2 linked regions of the Drosophila melanogaster genome follow. The protein of the gene in region 1 purifies or fractionates together with the protein of each later gene. This does not show direct contact. Each region holds a gene or a part of one and is shown in the gene's direction. Other genes may lie near its edges. The genes, in order: tai and ab.

Region 1 (12,771 bases):
CTTAACCATATACACATAAAACTAAGCATTAAAACTGCAGACCCCTTTCCCATCCAACAATTGTGAAACATTCTCCCAGCGCCCCACTGAGTGTGATCCGGTCAAATCTTTTGTTGTTTTACATTCGGCGGAAAAACGTTTACATAACCTTTAACTTGATTGTCTAACGATTTGCATTGTCTTCTGCGGTTTCGCTTCAGGTCAAGCTGGTGGACGTGGAGAAGGTGGAGTGGCTGAATCGGCGCTCCTACAGCGCCATTGGTCTGCTACTGGGTCGCGAGGGTCGTGTTCTACTCCGCTGCGATGATGGCCTCGAGGATTGGTTCGAGCTGCTGGAGGTGAGTGGCCATGAATTGGATAAATAGCATAACTAACTTGGTTCAGAATTAGACATAATGGATCCACATAGAATTAAACCCAATCAGTATAACTAAACATTCGCTATCCTCTTTAGGAATGCACAATGACCTCCAAGGAGCGCAGACGAGCCCTGAAGATTGCCCAAGGACCCAGATCCCGAGCCTCATTGGCTGCTCCCGTTTCGCATGCTTCGCTGCAGTTCCAGCATTTTGGACTCGGAGGCACTTACTCGAGTGCCCTGGACGATTGGCTGATGACGAATGGAACCGGTGGTCTGGCCCGGCACAAGATTGGAGCTGGCAGTCTGAACGGTTATGGCGGGGCCAATCCCTTCCTGTTCTCCGATTCGGTGCCGGATCTGAGTGCCCTGAACAACGAAAACCACAATCATCACCTGAGCGGCATCAGCACGAACCACTCGACGCCGCAAAAGATACCGCACCACAGCAATGCGAATCTCAGTCGATACTCCAATGGATATGTCTCGGCCCAGAACAGTTTCACCCAAGCCGGAGCACTCTACGGATCGCCTAGGCGGATCTTTATCAACAGCAGCTTCGGTTCCAATCAGGTGGTGGATGAGGAGACCGAGGAGACGGAGGTTCAGCTGAGGAGACCCAGACTGTTCCGGGGAGTTAGCGCTACTCCGGATAATGGCAACGAACTGGACCGCGATTGGCTGTACCGGAAGCCAAGGGCGCCCACTGATATGAGGCACTCAGGTGGGTTTCAACCTTTGCTTTGAATGAATATGATATTAATATTTGCTTATTTATTATATTTAGTTCAACCAATGTTACCCACTGGCGGCGGCAGCAACATCGGGCTGGCCAAAACCGAACTGGACTGTTCGGCCCATGATAGTGGCCTGGACACGCCCCCATCGACGCACCGCCCCTCGAGCTACCGGGAGGCGAGCAGGGACAGCACAGAGACCAATGGCAGTTCGTCGAGGGGAACACTGCTGAATAACTCATCGCCAGGCGGCAGTTTTCGAGCCAAAAAGCTGAGCACCCAAGTAAGCAATCTCAATCAGTTGAATTCCCTGAACGGATCGAGATACTCGGTGCAGGATCAACGCATCTTGAAGATGCGCAACAACGAGGAGGATCGCTGTGCCTCCATCAAGATGGCCAATCGTCTCAATCAGAATCAGGAGCAGGCCACTTACGATCCCAACCAGAATCGCTACTATAAGAACGGTAATGCCACGCCCCCCACATCACTGACGCCACAGCATACGCCGCAGCACAAACTGACGATGATGCACTATGGCAATGGGAATGGGAACATGGGCACCCTGAATGGCAACACCAACGGATCGGATCGCATAAACGGATCGGCCATTTTCCGGGAGCGCTACCAACATCCCGCCCTGGCCGCCATCATCAACGAAGCCCAGGGCCTTAAGTTTCGAGGTAGGTTTGAGGATTTATACGGTTTTGCTTGCATTACTCATCGTTCATCTGGCATGGTTATGGGCTGGCTTTAGGATCATATTTGGATTGGTTTCGGAAAACGTAATATGCTGGAATGCTCCATTAATTAGTTAAGATAGTTTTGTACCATTTTTAGTTTTAATGCATTTCATTATTACTTATATTTTTATTTTTTACTTTTATTCGTTTATATGTTTTTAGCTTTAAGTAGTTTCATTCTTAATAATGTTTCAAAGTGTTTATTATTTAAACCCATCTTAAAGGGGATGATTAGGATTTTTTTGAATTGTATAAAGTTTTCTCTTTCAAATAAATCATCCTCACTCCATTTTATCATTTGTTATCAAAAACAACACCCTTAAACCTACTTATAATGTAAACTTTTTACTTTTGCATGTTATCAATATAAAGAAGAATCAGAAAATATGTGGTAAACATACCCAAAGCCCCAAATTGTGCATGTTACACAAAGTGTCCAGCCGACTGGCCCCATAGTGCATGAGAAGATCGTGATGTTGAATGGACCAAAAGATATAGATAAAGCGATCCTTTCCCCAACTTGTAGAGCGGGCCTATTCGGACAGTCAGCAGCGTCGCCTCAACAACAACAATGGACCGACTCCCCAACCAGCCTCGCCACTCGCCCAGCGCCGGAATAATGGTGGACTCGGATCCGGAGTCGGATCGGGGGCTATATATGGCACGCCCACGCGTGTATAGCGCCTAAAGGTCTAAAGATAATCCAAATCGATGGAGAATTGATTGCTCCCCCACTAGTTTAATAATGATATAAATTAGTCGGTAAATTAGTCGACTTGATACAAAGTTTTGGAAATTATTTGCATAGAAAATACTTCAACGAAGGTAGAGAATAGTAACTAAATCTTAACTATGTAGTAGTACTCGTAGTGTGTGTGCTCCAATGTCCAGCTTTATGTAAATGTTTAAATAAAATATACATTAGTAAAAAGCATCTTAATAAAAGATAAAATAAAACTGGCTACTATTATTGGGAAGAATGGGTTTAAATATATGGAGAATATTTCTAATTGGCCTATGTTTGCCATAAACTGTTGAATGGTAAGTTAGGTGTTCATTGTAATTACGAAATGATTGAAGCGAGAATAATTTTTATACAAGAACCGCTCAATATTTGAGTACCAGAAAAAACAACTGTTGATTAAAAATGAATTCATTTCGGAAAGATGCAAAACGATGCTGAGCTTTGACCTAATTTAGGCGTGGTCTGAAGATGCAGAGATCAAGCTTCTTGGGATTTGGCGAAAAGCTTTCAGGATTTGCTGCAGGACTCCTTTCGATTAAGCTCGCTTTCGGAAAACTTTTCGGAAATGTCTTATAAAAGATGCAACACTAAAAAGCTCGCCAGCGCAAAAGCTTCAGCCGAAAGAGAGGACAAGCTGCAACCCCTTAAAGGATAATTCTGGGAGACCCCCTTGTGCGGGCAATGGAATGGGCTTTTCGGAGTCAACAATAAAATTTTCAGTCAGCTTTGAGACGCAGCAGCCACAGCAGCAGCAAAAGCAGCAGCAGCAGCCGCTGCAGGATTTAGCGGTCGGTTCAACCAGGAGCAGCAGGAGTAGAGAATTTTCGCGTCAGAATGCGAAGTCGCACGGAACTGGTGACCACCACTTTCGAGGAGAGCGACGAGGATGATTTCAGTCCGGACGATTCCGACTCCGAGGAGGACTGGCGACCCACCAAGAAACGTCCGTCCAAGCCATCTGGCTCCGATGGCGGCAGGAAGCGGAAATCGGCGGCAGCCAATGCCTCGAAGGCCAAGCGCCGGATGGCCAAGGTGAGCGACGAGGAGTCCGACGAAGAGGATGACCTAGAAACCGATCCCAGCGACGACGACTTTGACTACCCGTCGGCCAGCACTTCAAAGCGACCCCAGAGTCTGCCGCCCAAGAAGCAATTTGTTAAGTTAAGCCAACTGGATTTGCTGGTAAAAAAGTCTGATCTTATGGAAAACGACTGGCTAAAGAACAATCGCTTGTGTCTGTGGCGCAAAGATGAACAAACGAATCTGCTTCAGAAGTATCTGCGGGTCAAGTCGGCTGCCGAGGAGGAGGAGCTGCTCTTTACCTCCAGTTCTGTAGTGAGTGGATTATTTGTATGACAATGGTGGTCACATACATGATATACCAATGTATACTTAATCAATTCAAGTTATTTGCATCAATGTGATAATTTCAATATACCTCCTGTGACCTCCTGTGTTTATAAATAATTATCAATAAGCATTCTATTAATATACTTAATTTTGCAGTATTCCAGTTGGGATGATCAGCAGACGAGCGACTTCATAGAGGTCAAAGTCAACTGCTTGGATCCCAACAACAGACGTATTAAACTGCACGATCTGGAGGCGATTAAGAAAATCTCCGTGGAACTACAATCAGAGCGAAATAAGAAAACGACATCGGACAAAGAAGATACTTTGGAGGCGGAGGAGGATAAGCAAAATTAAGCTGATTCTTAAAAAAAAAACAACTACTAATTATACACAAAACTAACATTTTCATTAGTATTTACAACTAGTTGGCCAAGTTAGGGTTAAACAACAAATTTCCTTGTAACAGCTATGTGAAAACAGCATTAAATTTAATTTAGAAAATTAAAGAAACTAAGAAAAAAAAAGGAAATCAAAAGGAAAACATTTGAAAATATCAAATTAAAATCTTGGCGTTTCAATTTTAATACATTTATATTCAACAGTTCGGTAGATCTCTTCAAAGTTTACTTCGCTTTAGGCAAACATGCAAACATTCAAGCGAAATGCACTTTGTACAGATTTGTTGTTTGTTGTTTTTAATAGAAAGAGTCTAAAAATATTCGCTTGGGGACGGTTATCGACGCCGTTCGCCTTTGACGGTTTTGCGTTTCTCCTTCTTTTCCTCGCGCAGTTGCTTTTGCTTTTCCCGATCCTCTTTGTCCTTTTGCTTTTTGGCCGCACTATCCATTCGGGCCTGCTCCCGCTTTTCCTTGGCTAGCGCCTGGACATCCGATTTGTTGGTATTCTTGGTGAGCGTTCCACTGTCATCCTCGCTTTCCGCCTCGGAATTCTCGTCGTCCTCGTTGGCAACGGCAGTCTGCAAAAAGATTGGCATTGTCATTAGATACTAGATACTTCTACTTTAAAGCTAGTAATAGATATCTGGAATCAGCAGCTTGGCCAGCATGGATAGCAACCTGGGAGTATTGAGCTAGAATCTGCTGCTTGATGCGACGCTCCTCTTCGGTGTATTCACGCTCCTTGTTTACGGCGGGTTGCAGCTTCTGTTGCTCCAGCAACTTGGCCAACTGGGCATTCACATCGATATCCAGACCTTTTTTCGGCGGATCATCGGCGCTGGGATGGCTCTGTAGCCACTTTTGTAGTATGGTGGCCACCAGTTCGTCAATGTTGGCGGACTGCAAAGATCACGGACCATAATTTATGTAGGCAATGATATTACTAACCATAACTTACACCTGTTTCGCTGAGAATTCCCTCGAGAGCCTCGGTTTTTTCATCTGTCGTTTCGTCGCCCTCCAAAATTCCAATAATATACGAACCGAAAACGTTCTCGTCGGTGTTCAATTTGCGCAGCTGCTCGTTGAGCCAGCTCTGGAAGTCATCCGTGGCGCTCATGGTTACTCGGTATTTGATTTAAATATCATGTATAGAGGATTTTATTTGCGGAATAAACTCTGGCAGTGACAAATCAGCCGCAAAAGGCAACAAAAAAATTTGTGGAGCATGTGGCGCAGTGTTGGTGAGCGTTGACAGCGGAACAGCTGCTGCAGTAGCACTGCCAACTGACTGGAAAAAGAAAGTTTAACAGAAAATACAATCATTTTACTGAAATAGAATTTTTAGAAATAGAATATTATATATATTAGGTAAATTCACAAGTTTATTAATTGGTCTTTCTATTTTAATAATTATTATTTACATTAATATTTTCCAAACTTGTTGCTGGCAACACTGACACCTGAACACTACTGTTAGCCAACTGTTAACTACCAGCGAACAGCTGTTGCCGCAGTGTTGGTAAATACCCGCACACCTTTTAGTTGTTTGCCGATTAAAAAATTACGCTTTTTGTTTGAAAACGAAATATTAACTGCTGTGCTATTGAAACTCTGTCAGAATTAAAAGATATTCTATCTGGCCTGCCATCTCTTATTGTCATACAACAAGAAGTCTTGTGACACAGCTAAAGGCGTGAAATGGATCAATTAAACTTATAAACAAATTGTTTGTTTCTTTTGACTGAAATACTTGTACGGTTTTGTGCGTAAATGTGCGCTCGTGTGTGTGTGTGTGTTACCTATGCGTTCGTGTGTGTTTGGTGATTTTCTGATAACTCACATCGCAGCAAACAGCGAAAGCAAAAGCAACAATAACAAATTGCAGCAACAACGTCACACGTCTGCGACACCTGCGTCGCTGTCGCCAAAGTTGTGTTGTTATTTTTACTGTTGCTGCTGTCGCCGCTGTCGTCGCCATCGGCTTTTGTTTATTTGTTGTTGCGTCGCGTCGTAAAGAAGGAAAAGCGCCCACACACACACACAACACACACACAATCGCGCGTGTGCCGTTGGCAACAAGTGGAATATATACAAACGAAATTCATACAACCCCATGTTAGTGCGTGATTTACAAGAGGCAGAGAGAAATCCCTTCGATAAGTTAACCTGAGGTTAGTGATATCCATCGGAAAATACATACATATGTACAATCATACATATGTATGTATGTATGCCAGTTGTGGCAGGTCTGCGATTTCATAAATTGATTGATTGTCAAAATAAGACGTGCTAATTGATAACGATATCATATATAAAACCATCTCCTAAGAATATTTTTTTTCGAAAATAAGTAAAATTAGTTATTGCCTTAGGATTTACATATATTTATGTGTTAGGCATGTGTTATAAATTATTCATTAATTACAAAAACAAATAAATTATATAAAATTAAGATGATACATTTTTGAGATACCTTTATGTTTGCGCACTTTTGAAGTGCTTTGGAGTTGCCTGTGTGATCTCTGGCTCCCCTCCTGCCAACATTGAGTTGGCTCCTGCCACATTCTTGGCATCCTGCCGCCCACAAGGACCTCCGCCCACTTTGCTCCTTCGCCTATCGACTTGCGGCGGCCGCAACCCGAGTTGTGTTGACTGTTTTTTTTTAATGAGCCAGGTTTGTTTATGGGCTTGTTAATGTGAGTGTTTTACACTTTCCAATCCGTGTGCATATTCATGCGAGCGCTCCTCGGCGAACGCCTCTGTGTTTGTGGTATGCATAATAAAGGCCATTAAAATTAAGTAATTGACGCTGGCAGCGAGCAGACGACACCAGAAGGGGGAGGGGGGAAGGCAGGCGGTCTTGACTGATTCAGCGGCAGCGGAAAGGTGAAAACCGGAAAAATGAAAAGCACGGCAAAACGAAGAATGTTTCGGCCTAAAATGTACATACATATATAAAACCTCAGCTTTTCGTCATCTATCTCGCTCTGTTGCGTACAATTCGCGCTCTCTCTTTCCCAAAATGCAGAATTCGTCATTAAATTGGAGACCCATTTAAGTTTCAGCGAGCTCATAAAATTCACACGTTTCATTGCTTGCGATTTTGCAATAAAGCACAGTGGGATCAAATACCATAAAACTAAAAAAAAAAATTAATATAAAATGTTTGAACCGTTAATGCTGTTATGTTTGTATATAATATACAAAAATACTCATTACTTTCCTTGCCTTTCATGTTTTTGAATTCATTGTTATTTCCTTTTTAGGCCCACTGTGCGCATTCTTCTTTTGGGGGTTCCTTGTGTTTTACGGCTCTTTTCAACTGCCAGTTGGTAGTTGGTGGACACGCCCTCGCCCATAAGAATTTCTTGTTCGCTGGTTTATGGCAGATTTGCTCGATGGCTCTGCTTTTGGCCCGCTGCAGTGGGCCAAAGTCATGGCCCTAATTGTGGGAATGAATTAAATTGATTTCCATATCATAAACCCAGGCTTGCGGCCAGGCAATCAAATGGAAAACGCAACAAGTCAATGGCAGAAACAAAAAAAAAACAATTTGGCAGGGAATTTATATGTGAAGCTGCACTTCACATAGCAAAATCAATTCAACAACGTGGGGTGGTTGGTCTTTTCGAGGATGCCACGGGGCGCTTATCCTGCAAAGTGCTTTCCATTCTTGTGGCTCGTGGAATTTTCCAGGACCACCCACAGTGAAAGCGAGAGCTAATTCCGTATGGAGTGGCGATGGCTGCTTGGTGGGGCGTGTGGCTGTGATCTCTATAATACCATTGCTTATTTAGTTTGCCGCTGGTTCCGTGTTGTGTGACTGAAAACATATGCGTGCTTTTTGTATTTCGAATTTAAGTATTTAGTATTTGCTGCATGCGCTTTAAATTAAGGTGAGCTATGGAAAAATGTGAAAATTTATCTGATCATTGAATTTTTAATAAGAAAAAAGAGGCGGCATGTATTGATGGAAACTGTACTGTATGCCATACAAATTTGTTATTATTTCTTTATTATTCAAGTGAGTTGCTAACACTTATTCAAAATGAAGTTCTTCTCATTTTGCTGCAATTCCTCAAAAGATTAACTTAAATAACAACCATGAAGTATATATATTCTTATTTCACGAGAATTCATTAAAATATCTTTCCAAACTATAGAGCTGTGATAAGGGTTTTCTGTTATCTTAAGGAATCTATCTGTTACATTCCATTTGATTTTCGTCTCCTGAAGGGTTCATCTCTTCCAGTTGGGATGCTAAGTAGCTCCCTGGGTTTCCAAACCCAGCCCATTTGCCCCGGAGGACATCGCCTGGCACTCAGTAATGTGATTGGAAAGGCTTCGTCGGCTTGGGCTGCCAGTTGGATACCACGATGGTAGGTGGTAGGGGGGATCACCATGGGCGGTTGATGGATTCCATTCACTGTGCCCTCTCGTATCCACTTAACTATTTCGTTGGATTGGGGCACGTTGTTGTTGCTACAGCAGCTGCCGCTGCCGCTGACATTTTCATTTTGCTACAGTAGGGCTACTGTTTTTCCCGCTGTCGCTTTTCCTTGTGCGCTGTATCATTGCCATGTCGTTGACAAATTGTCTAGATGAATGGAAGTGTGGGTTCGATCCCTGGGATCCTGGATAACTAACTGAAAGTGGGAGATGGAGATGTAGAGCGGAGCCCTTAAATGTGTGTCAATAAATGTGTGTTAAAATTGCCGTTAGGCAGTAGGGTCATGGTGATATATGTATAAGGTTGCGAACAAGCAAGACTCCTGTTGCGCCCAACAATCGCAGGCGGTGGTCACCGCCTGCTCCTTTGGATTCGCTTGTTCCGCGACCAGATGGCTGGCAAACAATTTTCAATTAAGCGCACAATCACGATAAATAAATCTCATTGTGCAAAAAGCCAGTTCATCTACACGAGCTTAGCTTAACTTGGCTTTTCTCCCGATGTACAGCAATTTTCTGCGGTTTTTCTTTACCGTGGGCGGTGGGAGGCGTGCTGCCTGCAATAAAACTCCACCCAGGTAGCGACTTCATTGCAATCTTCACAAGCTTTTCCTCCAGCGATGCTAACACGCTTTTGCTTCTAACTGATGGCTAATGCTCTGCACACAAGCGGGTTTGTCGGTTTTAGCCAATGGAGTTGGTTGGTTGGTAACCCATGAATCATACAATTAATTACTGGCTTATGGTGTGAATTCGCATAAATTAAATCCACATTTGCACAAGAGGTGAATGCAATTAAATGAAATCAAACTGAATAATTGTATTGTATGGAAAGGTTTTCTTAAAAATTAAATATGCATTTTAGTACCATTTTGAAAGACAAACAGTCAAAGAAATTTTTATTATATATTTGAATATACGAAACAGCAATAATAAATCATTAATACATGTCTTGGCATTAGTTTTTGGCATACCGATAAGTGCATTTGAAATTCGCTTTGTTTTAGCCATTTCCCCTTCTTGTTTACGTTTTATTTCCTAGCCATAAATTCTGCGGTTAAAATGGCAAGTATTGAGAGAAATTGAGAGAAGCGAAGCGTTAGTGAGCAATATGTTTTTATAATGCTTGGATCTCAATTTATGGGCTAGCCCACAAATATTCATCTAAACCGATTGTTGCGTGTGGTCCAAATTGACAAAATACAAGCGCACATAATGCTATAAACCAGCGGTATAAATAAATAAAAAAAAATAAGAAGAAAATGCAAGCAAATTTAATCAAGCGAAATTTAACAAGATTTCCGTGAAGCGACTGCCGTTTCCTCTCAACCCGCCGCATCTTTCCCATCCAATGGATAGAAGCTGCTCATCCCCGGCCACAAATTAAGCAAAATCTTATACACCCCCTCCGGATTTCAGATCCTCATAGCTGGCCCTATCAAAATATAAAGCCAGCCGTGAACCAAACTTGATTTCGCTGCAGGAACATATCTTATAAAGTAAATAATAAATCAGCGACGAGACATTATATACATATATATGAAAATGAAAGAAGTGTACATAATGCCGGGAGATTCGCACACATGCTTTTCGGGGATTGAGATGCTGAAAAGAGGCTCCTAAAACCTACCCATAGAAGATTTAGTGGCTTCGTCTTTTGGCTCTCGTTGCTTAGGTAGCACAAAAAGGAAGTAAACAGGATTTGAGCTTTACCGGGAATCTTTTCTTTCTTATTTTCGTGTTTTTTGGATATATATATATAATTTTTTTTTTTGGTTTTTGTGTCGTGTTGCCTGTGTTTGTTGTGTCTTTAACCTCTCGGACATTAGGTACCAAATAGTTTGATATTTGGGGCTCTTCTTCTCCCTTTCGTTTAGGATGTGTCTTAGCTGTGCCTTCGCTGGTATTTACTTAAGGAAATTCGATATATTTAAATATGTATATTATTTTATGGTGTCTTTTCTGCTGCTGTTGGCGCTCCTCGCCCGGTGGTTCTCTTAATAAATTCTGTGAATTTTAATAAATGATAAGACTCGTGTAATTTGAAGACATTGTACATAATTTCTGTCATTTTTTTTCGCCCACCGATTATGTGCTTATGTGTGAGAAAATTTTTAGAAGATTGGTTTTATATATATTAATGTGTATTATTTTGTTTTATATACAAGAGTCAGTCACTTGATGCCCTCGTTTCGGAGAATTTATTAGCACTAAAATTGGTTTATAAAGTGTTTTTCACAAGCGGAAACCTTAAACTTTATTTATTCGGGTAAAGAACATGATAGAAATAAAGCTATTATTATTATTATTATTAATATTTGTTGTAGCCTAGCATAAGTGATTTTCTTGAAGCCAACTTAAATTGAAGCTCTCTTGCCTGCTTTTATTATGCCCTGTTAAACCATTTTGAATTTATAATCACATAGATACGAGAAAAAAGGCAATTTCCATAGGGGTGGCATTCCGCATTTGATCAATTATTCATTAAAATGCACTTTGGGCTCGGTTTTTATGGGCATTTCCTATTTACACCTATCGTGTTGCTTTCGGTTTTCATTTGCCAGCCATCCATGCTTTTCTGCACAAGTGAGCAATTATTTGTGCAACATAATTAAAATTTTATTAATTCATAAACAAATGCGCAGAAGAGAGCGTACACAACTGGGATCCAAAAAGGGGGAAGGACTCCACATTGCAGTTGCCTTTCAGCACTTCATCAACGCCAAATGTTGCTGCACTTGCTGCTGTTGTTTCCTCTGCATCATTCATAAAAAATGCCATAAATGCAGACAGAGCAACAACATCAGCACGTAGAGTAGCCTCACCTCACCTCTTCAGGTGCGAATTTGCCACTCAACCCTTCATCCCTGCCCCACCTGCCCCTCCCTTCCCATCGGCCACCCAAAAGCCGCCTTATCCATCGGCCTCGTCACCTTGTCAATTTTACATGTAGAGCACGTGTCGCTGCTCGTGCTCAGTTGTTGCTGTTGCTGTTGCACTTGCTGCTGGCAATGGGTATTTCTTGCTCGACTCTAATTAAAGAGCTCTTCAGTGGAGCTCCTTGAACCTGCAACACCAACAAATGAGTAACTGCCATATAGAAACTTTTAATTTGAAATGAAAAAACCAGCAAAATATATATAGAAAATATAAAAAGAAACGCTAAAGTCGATAATCTCGACTATAAGATACTCGTTAATTGTGTAAAGAGCGACAAAAATTAAAATTAAAAAAATTTAGAATTTATAATTGTGAAATTTCGATACGGACAAACATACGGACAGTATGGACACTCGGATATAGCTATATGTATCAATAATAATTCATATTTAATGATAGTACTTTTTTAGTAATAGGTATAACGACTACCTCGACTATCAGATACCTGTTACGTAGCAAAGTTTCTAGCATGCACTTTTACTCCACAAATTAAAAGTACAAGACGACATAAATACGCTTTTTCTATCTTTCACGGTTGCAACACCTGTCGAATTGTGGACATCAGCATAAAATAGAATCCAAATAAAACAGAGCCGGAGGAAATATATATATAGTATATGAATATATTAAATATAAAGCTCGCTGCGAGAGCAGACACAGAGAAAACCCAGCAAAAAAAAGAAAATAAAAACAGCGAACACCGCAAATACGAGCCAGAAGAAATGCACACAGCACAATATTAAACAAACGGCACGAACAAAATATTAACAAAATATAACTCTCGAAAATACGTGAAAAAAAAGGATAGAAAGTCGAAACAAAGCCATGTGTGCTGAAACTTAGACAAATACGAATTTAAGCAAATAGAGCGAGATTCAATATTTACTAAATGCCAAATGGAATTTTCTGTCAGCACGAATTTGATACGCGTGTGGGAAACAATCGTTTGAATAAATAACAAAAAATAATTACATTTGACATTTGAAATTCTAGATTAAAACAACGTTTAATTGAAGAAAAGAAATATTGAAAAAAAAGTGAAGTC
Region 2 (12,462 bases), 2.0 Mb from region 1:
CTTCCAATTGGGTTTTTAGGTCAGCCTTCAGCCAGCACGAGAACACACACACCACACACACACACACACCCATCGATTGGATGCAGTCAGCAGCTCTCCTTTGAGCTTGGACACACGAAATCAGCCATCCAGCGATGCATACTTACTGGCCAACTGCAGCTGACACTTGTGGGATGTCACTGCGAATCGATTGAAGCAGATAAGCCAGCTGAAATTCACTTTCACTATGCCTAATTACTTAATTCATTTTAGCTAGTTTAGTCTGTGTTCGCAACAAAGGTAGGAATAAAGTGCAAGTGGATTTTTTATAAGGAAAAATTTAGCACTAATTTAATTAGCTAAGGCATCAAAAAGGCGATATAATTGGGTTATTAAATGTATTGTGCTTAAAATGGGACAAACTATGAAGGAATCTAAACTATATACAATATTATTGATATGAAATAAGTTCTGGGCAAACAGAAGAGATGATTAAATAAGTTAACTTCACATCACATGTTTATTTTTGTTTACTTAAACAAAGAAAAGTTTATGTAAGCAATAATATTATTTTAAATGATCGGACGATATTAACTGAAATCTCTTGAGACGACCGACCATGAAGGATGACCGAAATCCGTCTAGAATAGATGCCAGGATTACCATCTAATATGTGTGCCATGCAGCTTCCCTGGGCTTTATTTATTGTGCGGCTGTGAATCATTGTTTGAATGGGTTGTCAGCTGGAGGATAGGATGGCGATGCAGTCGAGGACTTGACGCATTTTGTGTGCAAAACGTTTCGAGCTTATTGTTCCAAATTCGATGCCTCGGGCCCGGGCACTCGAGACCCGTACTCATCGGGCATAATTCGTTGGATCCGTTGGATCATCACAAAAGAAAAGCGATGTCATCGGCGAAAATGCAGCAGAGCTTTTCGAGCCACCGGATTGTGGATGGTGGAAAGGGGGGCAAATGGCGGGTATGGCTTCTAAACAATGCCGACCAATTTCCAAAACAATGTCAGCGTGCGCAATTTTAATGATTGCAGATATTTTAATGCGGCACCAAGTTATTGTTCTCATGCTGATGCTGTGCACTGCAGATAATTATGGGGCACTCAATTGATTTTTACTTTTCTCATTAATTATACGGTAGCCTGAAAAACTGCTAAAGTTTCTAGAGATCGCATAAAACACTTTTTTTTTTATTTATTATATTCTTGTACTAAGCAACAAAAACTTTTGTATATTATCTATAGATTGCAACAATTTTCTTACTGTTTCTAAAGTATATCAAATGTATTTGTATCTGAATCTGGTAACTGCAGCGTCAGCAATGGGTGGTCGAATCGCAATGAAAACTTCCGTGGAATTGGTTCATTCGGCACAAGATGCCTCATTGGGTGGATGGATGGCTGGGATGGTTAGATGTGTGTAAGTGTTTTTTGCACTGTGAAACTGCAAAATGATTGATTGACTCTTAGCATCAGTATTATTAGCATTTTTGGGTTCGGGTCTCTGTTTTGCCTGCGCTTCTGGCTAATTAACAGACCTGACCAACTCCGATTTGGTTTTGGTTTTGGTTTGCGCTGTTGGCCTGGTTCATTCAACTCTGGCGCTGATGGGTGAATTACAACCGTTGGACTTGACTGCCTGCCCGGCCAGGTCACTAATTGAAGGCGAGGAGGAATTACTAGATAATTTTAATGTGTTACGGTAGCTCAGCATTAGCAGCAGCTTGACCCAACTCAATTTTCACTTCGCATCTTGTGTCTTGGCTTCATTCCACGTTCGGCTGCAAAGAAATTTTCGACAGGTTATTGAGCTTAAGTTTTAGTTTAATGATTTCTTTGCAGTTAAAGCAAGCCCCGTTAAATCAATTTTTAAATCCTAGCTAATGCAAACGTACGCATTTCACAGAGATCATGTTTTGAAACATACTTGCCAATTTCTAACTGCTGACATATTGTGCATATTTATATAGTTATAATAATTTAGAGGGCATAAGATATTTTAAATATAACCTGCCAAGTAATAATGTTCAATACCTAGCCTACGTAAAACTAACAAATACGTATCCATCATATATTAAACGGAAATTTACATAGCATCCTAATTTACATCTCGTTTCGGATGGATAAAACCGGCAGCAGTAATTCGAAATTTCAAAAACCACGTCTTCACAGACTGCGTAATACGTATTCAAGTCGGTTTTATGCGGTTATGCCCTCTAAGCTCGGAGGCAACTGTACCTTGTGCAATGCGATCGCGATCGCCGCCATTTTGGATTTTCAATGTGGAGAGTAATAGAGCCAACGGCACTTAATCCATAGACTGCGATGGCCGACCAACTTATATTTCATGCATATAAAGCACACACCATCGAATACTACTCACTCATACACAGCAAAGTACCCATTTATCCAGACGCTTTCCAACTTATTTTACATAATAACCTAGGTTGTACCCACACGAATACAAATACACCACGCTGACCAGTACTAATACTCTTATAAGCCTTTATTTGCGTGTTTTTGTTGGCTATAAAATTGTTTTTTCTTTATCATAATTAAATTCATGGTTCGTGTATCATCTTCAAAAAAACCAAACCGATGGAAACACTCTCTCGATCTTTCTCTCGCTCTTTCGGGTCTTAATTCGTGCGCCGCAAGGTGAGTTGAGCGGTACAAATAAACGAATGTATGTACATATGTACAGTCATATTTACCTTGATCATTTCTATTGTCCACACACGTTCGATAGAAAAGGAGGGCAACAATGTGGAAGAGAGAGATGGAAGGTCGCGTGTGTGTGTGTAGGCAGGCTAAGATTGCTGGGGCTCAAATGAACGGAATGCTCCTAAATTACAGATGGTGGTTACTAGATAGATAGTTTACCTCTACAAATAATGAATACTTAAGTAGTATAAATATAAATTTAAAAAAAAAGGAAATGGATATTGCATAGGATTTTATAAATTTTTAGGATAAAGGATCTAAGTGGTAAGGCTTTCTTTTCAAACAATGTTGTTTTAGCTCAGTAAATCCAAATACTTATAGCTGAATTTTGTTTTCCAGGGTGTTTACCAAATCGCAACCATTATACAGTGATAGTTTAAGTTGTTGAATTTAATTATGCTACCGTTGGGTCTACAAATTCCATCCAATCTAAGACTGTGGGGTAAACTCAAGCAAAACGAAAGCGCCACCCATCCGAAGATGGCTCTCAATTCCCGCCTCACTCACACCTTCTGCTGCTCGGCGTTTTGCCTCCCCCAACCAATTTTTCACGTACACGCATTTCTTTTGATAATTTCATAATCATGTTTCTATTTTTCACATTGATAACTCAGCCCGAGATCACCGGAACTGAGAGCTTTATGGGACGCAGCTTCGAGTGTCAATAACTCATCCGCTGACATCGAATGCTGGTCGCCAACGCAACTGCTAAGCCCCCCCCACTCCCCGACCCACTAATCCGTTGGGGAAACTCCAGGAAAACCCGCTTGAAATTGCTGCACGAGCTGCAAGATAAATGAAATGTCATTTGCCTCGTGTGCAACAGATCGGCGTCTTCATTCCATGGCTGATATATCCCCCTATTAGGCATTGGAGTACCCAACTTGGATGACTCCATTGAAGGCAGAACAGAGGAATCTGAGATGAAAAATAAGTGGATACTGAATAATTATTGATCAATTATATATCACTGTTAACAAGGAAAACATTAACGCATAGAAATTAGATAGTTTTGTATTTATTTGTAGAGAAAACACTCTTGGTTCGTTATTTACTTTGGACAAATCAGAGGATATTGAAATATTTAAAGATATTTCATTTAATAATTGTATTGTATTATTTGTGGAACTAAATTAAAATATGTACATACGCAGAATGTGAGCAATGGACCAACACAGCTTTTATATACATGCACCACTAAAATAATATCAAAATCACACAAATGTCATAAACAGAATCCATTAAAAGCAACCTGAAAATACTGATTCTTTTTATTAAAAATAAACTTGAACCACCCACGAATTCAACTGTTGTTGTTCTTATTAGTTTCATTTTTTCCAAGCAATTTTTGTTCGACCATTGAAATGCGTACGAGATTATTTAGACAGATCGTGGCATTAAAATATATGTACATGCTTATATTTATATATATACATATATGAGCACAGACATATATTAAGCGCATACATCCGAATATTTTAATTAGAGTATAGATAAAAAATAACAACAACAAAGGAAAAAGAGACGAGCAGAGAAGAAGTGAACGAGCGGGGGGCTGTCAGGGGCGGAGGCAGCAACAAATATTAACAATAATTATACCCAAAATATAAAGACGCGGCGACACCTATTCCATATAAATTTTAGGTTTCCACAATTTTTTCACTCACTCTCGATAAAAATAACATTCCACACGTACACACACAACTAGATGGGATGCGGTGGGGCGGTGAAGAAACAGATTTGGGAAGTGAATTTTGGACAGTACCTACACACCACCACCACCCATTCTTGCCCCTGGAAGAGTGGAGGGGGGGGGGGGTGCTTGTGGGTAAAAATAAATACAAATGTCGCCGGCATCAATAAGATATAAATTAAAAGCGTACTACAATCCCAATGTTAATTAGAGAAGCACGAGAAGCGAAGAGAATGCAGCGGAGGTGGGGCCAAACATAAAACTAAGGTGGAGCGAAGTGAAGCGAAGAATGAGAAATTCAGCCCCGCTACACTGAGATAAAGTAGTGGAAATCTTTTAATTATGAAATACATTTTGATATCCTAAAAGGCAAGAATTGTTAGCTATATATAACAATTAACAAGATATATTATGAGTAGTTAACACAGAATTGCAGAAGAATTCTTAAACATTGAAAAATTTTCTAGATTCTTTCTTATAGTGCAAGATTATATACCCATTGAGTTTGGGTATGGAACTTTCCTCCGCCCAACCAATTTCATACCTCGCTCCAATGGAAGCGCTTGACGTGCTGTCGTGTATCTATTAGATACATTAGCTGCCGCATGCCACCAACTTGCGCTCCCTTTTTGGGAAGCTGTAGCTGCATCTACAGATCGTTGCATCCGAAACTCTGTGCATTTGTGGATCGTTGGGATGTTTGGTGGTGCGGCGACAATTTCGGTGTTCTGCCATTTGGAGTGTTTTTACACGTAAATTTATTTTGTTTTTGTCGACTTTAATAAAGTTGCATCTGCCGAGGGGTGGCACCTCATAGCTTTAGCGTCTGCCGAAGTGGGAGACAAACTTTATTTATTCCAGCCTCAGGCAGCTTAATGACTTCCTGCAGGGGCGGCTACTGCGAGAAATCGGAGGAGGGCAAGATTAAGGTGCGGTTCCAGTTCTCCACGGAACTGTCTTCCTTTTTTTGAATTATTATTCTACCATAAAGCTCCGCATATCTAAGGAAAGTATGGTTAGGGAAAATACATCATATTAAGTATATTCATGTATCTTTAGCCTTATTGTTAAATTACACTATTATTGGACAAATATCTGTGTACATTCATTCGTTTAGACATCCGTTTAGAAAATTTAGTAATTTGCACATTTGAACGTTTTTCCTTAGCTGCGTCATTTTAATTACAATTTCAAATAAGGTCAAATGATTTATTGAAATCCGTCTCACAACTACAGTGCATTCCAATGACTAAAGTTATGCTTGTGTCTTAGTTTGTTTTCTTATTTGGTCCACATTTTTGTAAGTAAAGTTAAAGTAAATTAAAGTATATTTTAATTCAAAAATTAGGGTTAGTTCATTTTTATATTTATTTTTGTACTTAAACTTACATTTTACATTTCCTTTTCAGACTGAGAAATAACTTAATTCGATGAAATGCTACTTTATTTATGGAAACTATAATTTATCAGAGAGCGCACATTTTATCGCACTTAACACCCAATGAATCAAAAACTCGGGCTGCTCTCTTCTACCGAAAACTTTTGGCCAAGAAAGCGCTGGCAATTCTGCAATTCAATTGGTCGGCCGTCCGTCTTTCTTTCTTCTCGGGCTCTCTGCAGTCTTCACCTTGCCACTTTGCCCGGTTGGAAAAGTAAACACAATCTGATTGTATGGCTTAGATAATAGCCCCCTTGTGCGCCAGTGTGTGTGTGTGTGTGTGTGTCTGTGAGTGTGTTGGCCAGTTGGAGGAGGATGGGGCTAAAAAAAAACGAGTGAGAAACCACCGACGCGCTGCATGCAACATGTTCGCCGTCGAACGTCAAACGACGAGCATCGAACGTCGAACTTCGAACATCGAACGTGGAGCCGACGAAGAGTGCGTCGGATTTTACTTACCGCTTACGAAAACAGGAATTCTTATTACGCGCAGTACAATTTCAGAAATCAGACGGGCAGCAAGTGTCGTGGTTCAAGTGCGGCTAATTTGGCTTATATGTGATTTTCAGTGTTTTGATGGCTTAGTAAACTATCAGAAACACAGAGACAACTGAATTTGAACTTCTCAACTAAATAAATACAAACCATAACATAACTAAAGAAAACAAAGAACTGTAATATAAAATAAAAATAAATTAAAAACGAAAAACTATTAAAATGCATATAAACCCGAATTGGAACGAATAAACTTGGTGCTGTTAACTGTTTTCGAAATAAATCCAAGAAACTTCCGTTCCTAGTGCGAAACTATAAACAACAAGAACTGCAGCGGCGACGCGTCGGCAAATTGGCATAAATAAATAAAATCAGCGACGTTTTTTTCTGCTGCCGCTGTTCTTTTTTTACAACCCGATTTTTATGAATGAATGCAGCTAACAGGCAGAAAAAAAACCGCAACAAAAGAGCGAGATAGCGCGAGTCGCGTGCACAGGAGCGAAATCGTTGAAGAAAACGGGGGAAGTGGGGGCGGTTGTAAAAAAGCGGACAGGTTGTACCGTTCGATTGCCGCCCACCGCCCGTTTGTCGCCCACTTTTTGTTGTTATTATTTTTCGGTTTGCTTTTCCGCTTTTCCTCCTAGGCGACACACGCTCATGCTTGTCACTTTGTTGCTTTTGCTTTTCGCCTGTCAGCGGCTGTCACAAATCCGCAAACAAACACACAAACACTCACACACACACACACACGCAGCAATTGTTGTCGTTGCAAAATTAATAACGGAAGTTGTGCATTTTATTAATAAAAACGAAATTCACACAGAACCAGATTCACAATCGCAATCAGAATCAGAGAAAATAAAACCAGAACACGAAACTCGCTGCGAAAAAGAGCGCACGAAACAAAAAACAAAAACAACAAAAATCGCAAGTGCAGCGCGACGGCTTCTTCGTCTTCTTCTTATTCTTGTGGCGTTTTTCTTCTACTTCGTTTCGTTTGTTTTCCGCTTCTCGGAAAACCCAGGAAAATGCTCTCTGATTTGCCAGCGATTCTCATTCATTTTGTTCTTATTGTGATTGCAGTTGTGCAGTGTTGAAAAATCAAACTAAATTCAAAATCGGCTTTAAAGAAAACAAATTCATAAAGGGAAATACCCAAAGAAAATAACCCTCAGTGTTTCAAAAGTGTTCAAATTTTACAATTGTGGCATCACAACAACAAATTCAGCAATCATCGTGAATTTTCAAAAAGAAGATTAAGAAATCAACAGTGCAAACGGTAAGTTTTAAAACTGATTCTTGGAAATGTATGTACGAATCTGCTTGGATGGCAACTTTTTAACAGGGAATTTGATCGTTGAAGTCTTTGGGGTTAGTTCCAATGTTTGTTTTCTGACAGTATATGAATTTTAAGTTATTGATTTACTTAAATTTAATGTAACTAATATTCTGGAAACGAAACCAAACGAGAATCAAATCGTTTAAGCTGTTTAACTAGATCACATTAAAATCGTAGTAAAATAGAACTTTCTCGCTTCCCTAGACTTTTATAACTTTATATGTCATGATTTTGTTTTACATAAATTGAATTAGGTTAACAAATGTTTTATGACCGCGATCTTTGTTTGCGATCTCTCTCAGTGATCGTAAACCGAAGTTAATGGCTTACAAAATCGGGCTCACAAAAGGCGTCAGCATTTGGAATTGTCTTTAAACTAGTTGGCCAAAATGTGTGAATCTAAGAAAATTATGTATTTTTTGGTGTTACACGCTTTCTTGATTGGTCTGCTGCTCTTGAAGACAGACCCGAATAGTTGGTGTCCTCTTGCGATTTGATAAATGAATCTTGCAACTTAGGGAAAACGTTTTCGGGGGAATTTTCGTGTGCAGTAATTGCCAACTTTTTTGGAGGCAGTAGTGCTGTGGCACCCATAGGTAGGTAGTGTTGTGTGTTATGGCCAATAATGGTAATAGCAGCTAATGAACCTGACTCTCGACTGAATTTTTGGATTTAGTCTCGGAGTCGGGGGTCTGCGATACCCAACACCAAACACCATCGCGTAAGTGTAGATTCCTCGCCTGGGCGAGTGTTGTTTTTATTTTTCACCGGCCCGTTGAAAACAAACACAAATACGTAGATGTGGAAACCCGGGGATGCTGGGAAACAAAAGGGTCAAGGGGGCGAACAATTAACGCGTCGCTGTAATTACAGCAAATGGTTAAAAAAAAGGGGTTTGGGAACAACTAACCAGAAAAAAGACACAAAGAGAGGGAAAAATAGAAAATATTAATAATCAATAGCCCGCTAAAAGGCATCGATGGAGTCGGTCGAGTTGGTCGCGATGGTTGAGGCAATTTTATCGGTCATTGAACGGCCAAAAGAAGCCAATACCAGAAAGAGATTTTTTTACAAGCCGAAAACGCAAATCGTCGGACTTGGAAATTATGCCAAAAACTTCGACTTTAGACGCGGCAAGAAGCGATCGGTTTTTGGTTAATTACCCGGCCAAATCTCCGTTAACCTCCGGCGAAGAAACTTCGATGGCCTTTTCTGGGGGGCTGAGCAGTTAATTACATAAAAACAAGTGATTTGCGTGTGCGCTGCTGCTTTTGCTGCTGCCCACCGGCATCGATTCTCCAGCTCCGTTTCTTAGATTTTTTTTGTGTTGGGTAATTTTCAACTCGCCAACTTTCGGCCCGGCTAATTAGCGGAGAAAATCTGCGGCACAGGCCGAAAACCCATTTTTAGGTTGAACACTTGCGAGTGTTTGGTAAATGTCCAAGAACAGGTGACCTTTGACTTTAGTTTGAGGGCCTAAAGCATGATTAGGTAAGCAGGAATCAATTTAGAATTCAAAAAAGTCATTACATATTCAAATACTCGCATAAAGAACCTCCTATTAGTTGCTTACAAATTTTTCTTATTCCATAATTACTATTTTAAAACTTAACGCATAGCTTAACAAATTTGCTCACAGAGTTTGAGAGCTTATTTCATTACTTCAGTTCTGTAATTATATTCTGTGCAATAACCTTTTGCTCTTAGCTTAGATTGTATGAAAAAGTGCAGAATATAAGTACATTTTGGCCGTCATCTTCTCTCTAAAATTCTGCTTTATTTCATTATGTCTCAAATCATTCTTCAGCCTCGGTTCTCACTTTTTTCCTGCCCAGTTTTCGAATGACCTTTGGTTGGCGCCGTCTTCTCCGCATCCTTTTGCCCCACACTCCATATAATTTATCATAAAAAATAAAAGTTTTTTGGCTTTTTACGAACCTTTTCATGGGGTTTCTGCCCCCCTGCGGTCAGATGAAAAAAAAGTGGAAGGAAGCTGGACAATCGGCGCCGTGACTGCGTTCTAGATAAATAAGCATTCTTAATTATCCCTTTGCCTCCTTCTCTGGGGTGGCAAAAATGTTATAAACAATGGAAACCGCGCACTTAATGCGTTTTCTGTTTTCCAGAAGAAGGAAAAAAAAAACGAACGCGGCTGCGGCAAGTATTTTTCTTCATATTATTCATTATTTTGTGGCCAAAAAAGAAAATGTTTTTATTGCCTGCGAAAAAGGGTATAAAATGCTCAGTCGCCATTAGCCAAGGACCCGCAACCAAAACGACAACAATTCCAATCAAATGTAAAGGAGCAGGGCATAAAAAAAGGAGATTTCCAAGTGGCCCAAATGCCGAGATACTCAATGATGGGTGGAGATTTGGGTGTGAGAGGTCCAAAAAGAAATGCCGTCGGTAGATGAGATTTGGATTTCTGGCCCATGACAGGCCAGTGACTTTTCACTTTTTCGCATGTGAGCAAATGTGTAATTGAAGTTCCGCTCGAGAATAAAGAAGTGAAGCGGGCCAAGAAACAAAGGAATGTGGAGAAAGGACTCTAAGGACCTGGCCAAGCCATTCGATTCCAACGTTCGCCTTTCTCACTCGCCGACGGCGGCGCCTTGGCCCAAAGTATCGCGATTGCCGCATGAGTTGGCACAAAATCACAAAAATCAGTAAATCGCTCACAAAGTGCACGAAAAGTGCAGCGAAAATGAAAATGATGTGGCACTTTCTCAATGCTACCTGCCATGTAAATCATCAAACAAAAAGATCCTTCGAAAATATTATTGCAGGAGCATGGGACTTAAGCGGAATATACATATGTACATAGCTGCATCGCATCGATTTGGAGAAATATTCTCATCAAAATATTTGCACTTCTTCTTCGAGAACTCCTAACGACACCAATTGAGAACGTAAGCCAACGTAAACATTCGAAGTTTGAAGCTGCTGTCACAGTGGACAGTCGCTAAAGTGTACGAACTGGCTGTCCTTTTAATTAACTATGAAAAAAAGGTAAAAGATACAGTTACAGTTATTAAGTTCGATACTCTAGGATTTTGGTTAGTTTTAAATAATTTGAATCGCAACTAGATATGAAATATTCTATTTTTTTTTTTTTTTTTTTTTTTTTTTTAATTTTTATTATTTATTGAATCTTCCCTTTGTGTTAAGAGACTAACAATAAGTGTTCAAATCTTAATCTAACTTAATTAACTTTCACTTAGTGATAGTTTTTTTTTTTCATTAATGCCCTAATAAGTTTATTGCTGGGCTGGGAGGTCGTTGCGGTGCAGCCGGCTTTGACTGCATACTCGGATTAGTTTTCTTGCGAGGGGATTTGTATGGGTGGTCAGCTTTTCGTTATACTTCGTTTTTTTCTCAGCTATTACTTCGATTACTAATTTGATTTTTAGGTCTCTGTGTATGTTTTCGTTCCGAAGGTACCACGGCGCTCCAGTGATAATTCTCAGAATTCTTGACTGTGCTCGCTGAATAATGTCTATGTTACTTCTGGATGCGTTGCCCCACAGCTCGGAGCCATAAGTCCAGATAGGTTTTAAGACGGAGTTGTATAGAAGAGCTTTGAACTCCAGACTAAGTGGAGAGCGAGCATTTATGAGCCAGTGGAGGTTCCTTGCTTTAAGTTTAAGATGTTTAGATTTGGCTTCTATATGTTTGCGCCAAGTGAGCCGCCTGTCCAGATGAACTCCCAGATATGTTACCTCGTCGGCTTGTGGAATGCATATGTTATTCAAGACCAGTGGTGGGCATGTTTGTTTGTTTAAGGTAAAGGTAACCTGCTTGCATTTTTGAACATTTATTGAAATTCTCCAGTCGGCAAGCCATCGTTCTACAGATGTTAAGTGTCGGGATAGGAGTGCCGTGGCTTTTATTGGGCATTTCGAGCGACTGAGTATCGCGGTATCATCAGCGAACGTGGAGGTTGTTAGATTGTAGTCTATGGGGAAATCCGCCGTATACAGGGTGTATAAGATTGGACCCAGTACACTGCCTTGCGGCACTCCAGCTTCGATTGCGCAATCGCGTGAAGTGCTTGTATCGCATCTTATTGCAAACACTCTGTTATATAGGTATGACTTCAGTAGCTTATGTGTGTTTTGGGGCAACAGCTTGATTATTTTAAACAAAAGTCCATCGAGCCACACTCTGTCAAATGCCTGCGCGACGTCTAGAAAAATGGCTGTGCAGTATTCTCGATGTTCAAAAGCAGTACGAATTTCTGACGTGATTCGGTTGACCTGTTCGATGGTTCCATGTTTTTCTCTAAAGCCAAATTGATGTGTTGGAAGTGTGTTGTTTATTCTAAGATGAGGGCTAATCCGAAGGAGTAGCATTTTTTCAAACAGCTTTGAAAGACATGTTAGTAAGCTTATCGGTCTATATGATGATGGCTGCGTTTTATCTTTTCCTGGCTTTGGAATCATTACTATGGTCGACTTTTTCCATTTTTGAGGGAAGTATCCAAGCTTGGCGATTGCGTTGAACAACAGGCAGATGTGAAGAATAGCACACTTTGGGAGTTCAATGAGCATTCTTGGAGTTATTAGGTCGTAGCCAGGCGATTTTCTTGGGTTCAGTTGCTCTTTGATAACCTTTGCTAGTTCACATGGTCGGAATTCAAAGGGTTCTTGAGGATCTAGATTGGCTGCTATTAAAGGAGGGAGAATAAATGTGTTGGTAGAGGGATTTGATAGTAGCATTACGTCGATGTTTTTTTCGTAAATGAACTGTGTGAGCTCTTGTGTATGCCGTGAAACGCCA

Evidence for each region.
Region 2: the proteins of tai (region 1) and ab purify together in Drosophila melanogaster (affinity purification with western blotting, with the first as the bait; one study listed by BioGRID). This does not show direct contact.

The regions. Positions count from the first base shown.
Region 1 is NT_033779.5:9,160,931-9,173,701, forward strand, and holds the start of tai (taiman), read left to right. Parts: upstream 1-5,847; 5' UTR 5,848-6,508; intron 6,509-12,771. Other genes in the region: CG32982 (uncharacterized protein), read left to right, coding at 201-338, 455-1,082, 1,146-1,778, 2,211-2,233; CG13108 (uncharacterized protein), read left to right, coding at 3,418-3,918, 4,090-4,290; CG9586 (uncharacterized protein), read right to left, coding at 4,670-4,942, 5,013-5,234, 5,293-5,454.
Region 2 is NT_033779.5:11,204,341-11,216,802, forward strand, and holds the start of ab (abrupt), read left to right. Parts: upstream 1-6,337; 5' UTR 6,338-6,407; exon of another isoform or gene 6,408-6,433; intron 6,434-7,427; 5' UTR 7,428-7,623; intron 7,624-12,462. UniProt on the Drosophila melanogaster protein: Expression is vital for development; may be involved in transcriptional regulation. In embryos, muscle specific expression is required for segmental nerve b (SNb) motoneuron target recognition within ventral longitudinal muscles.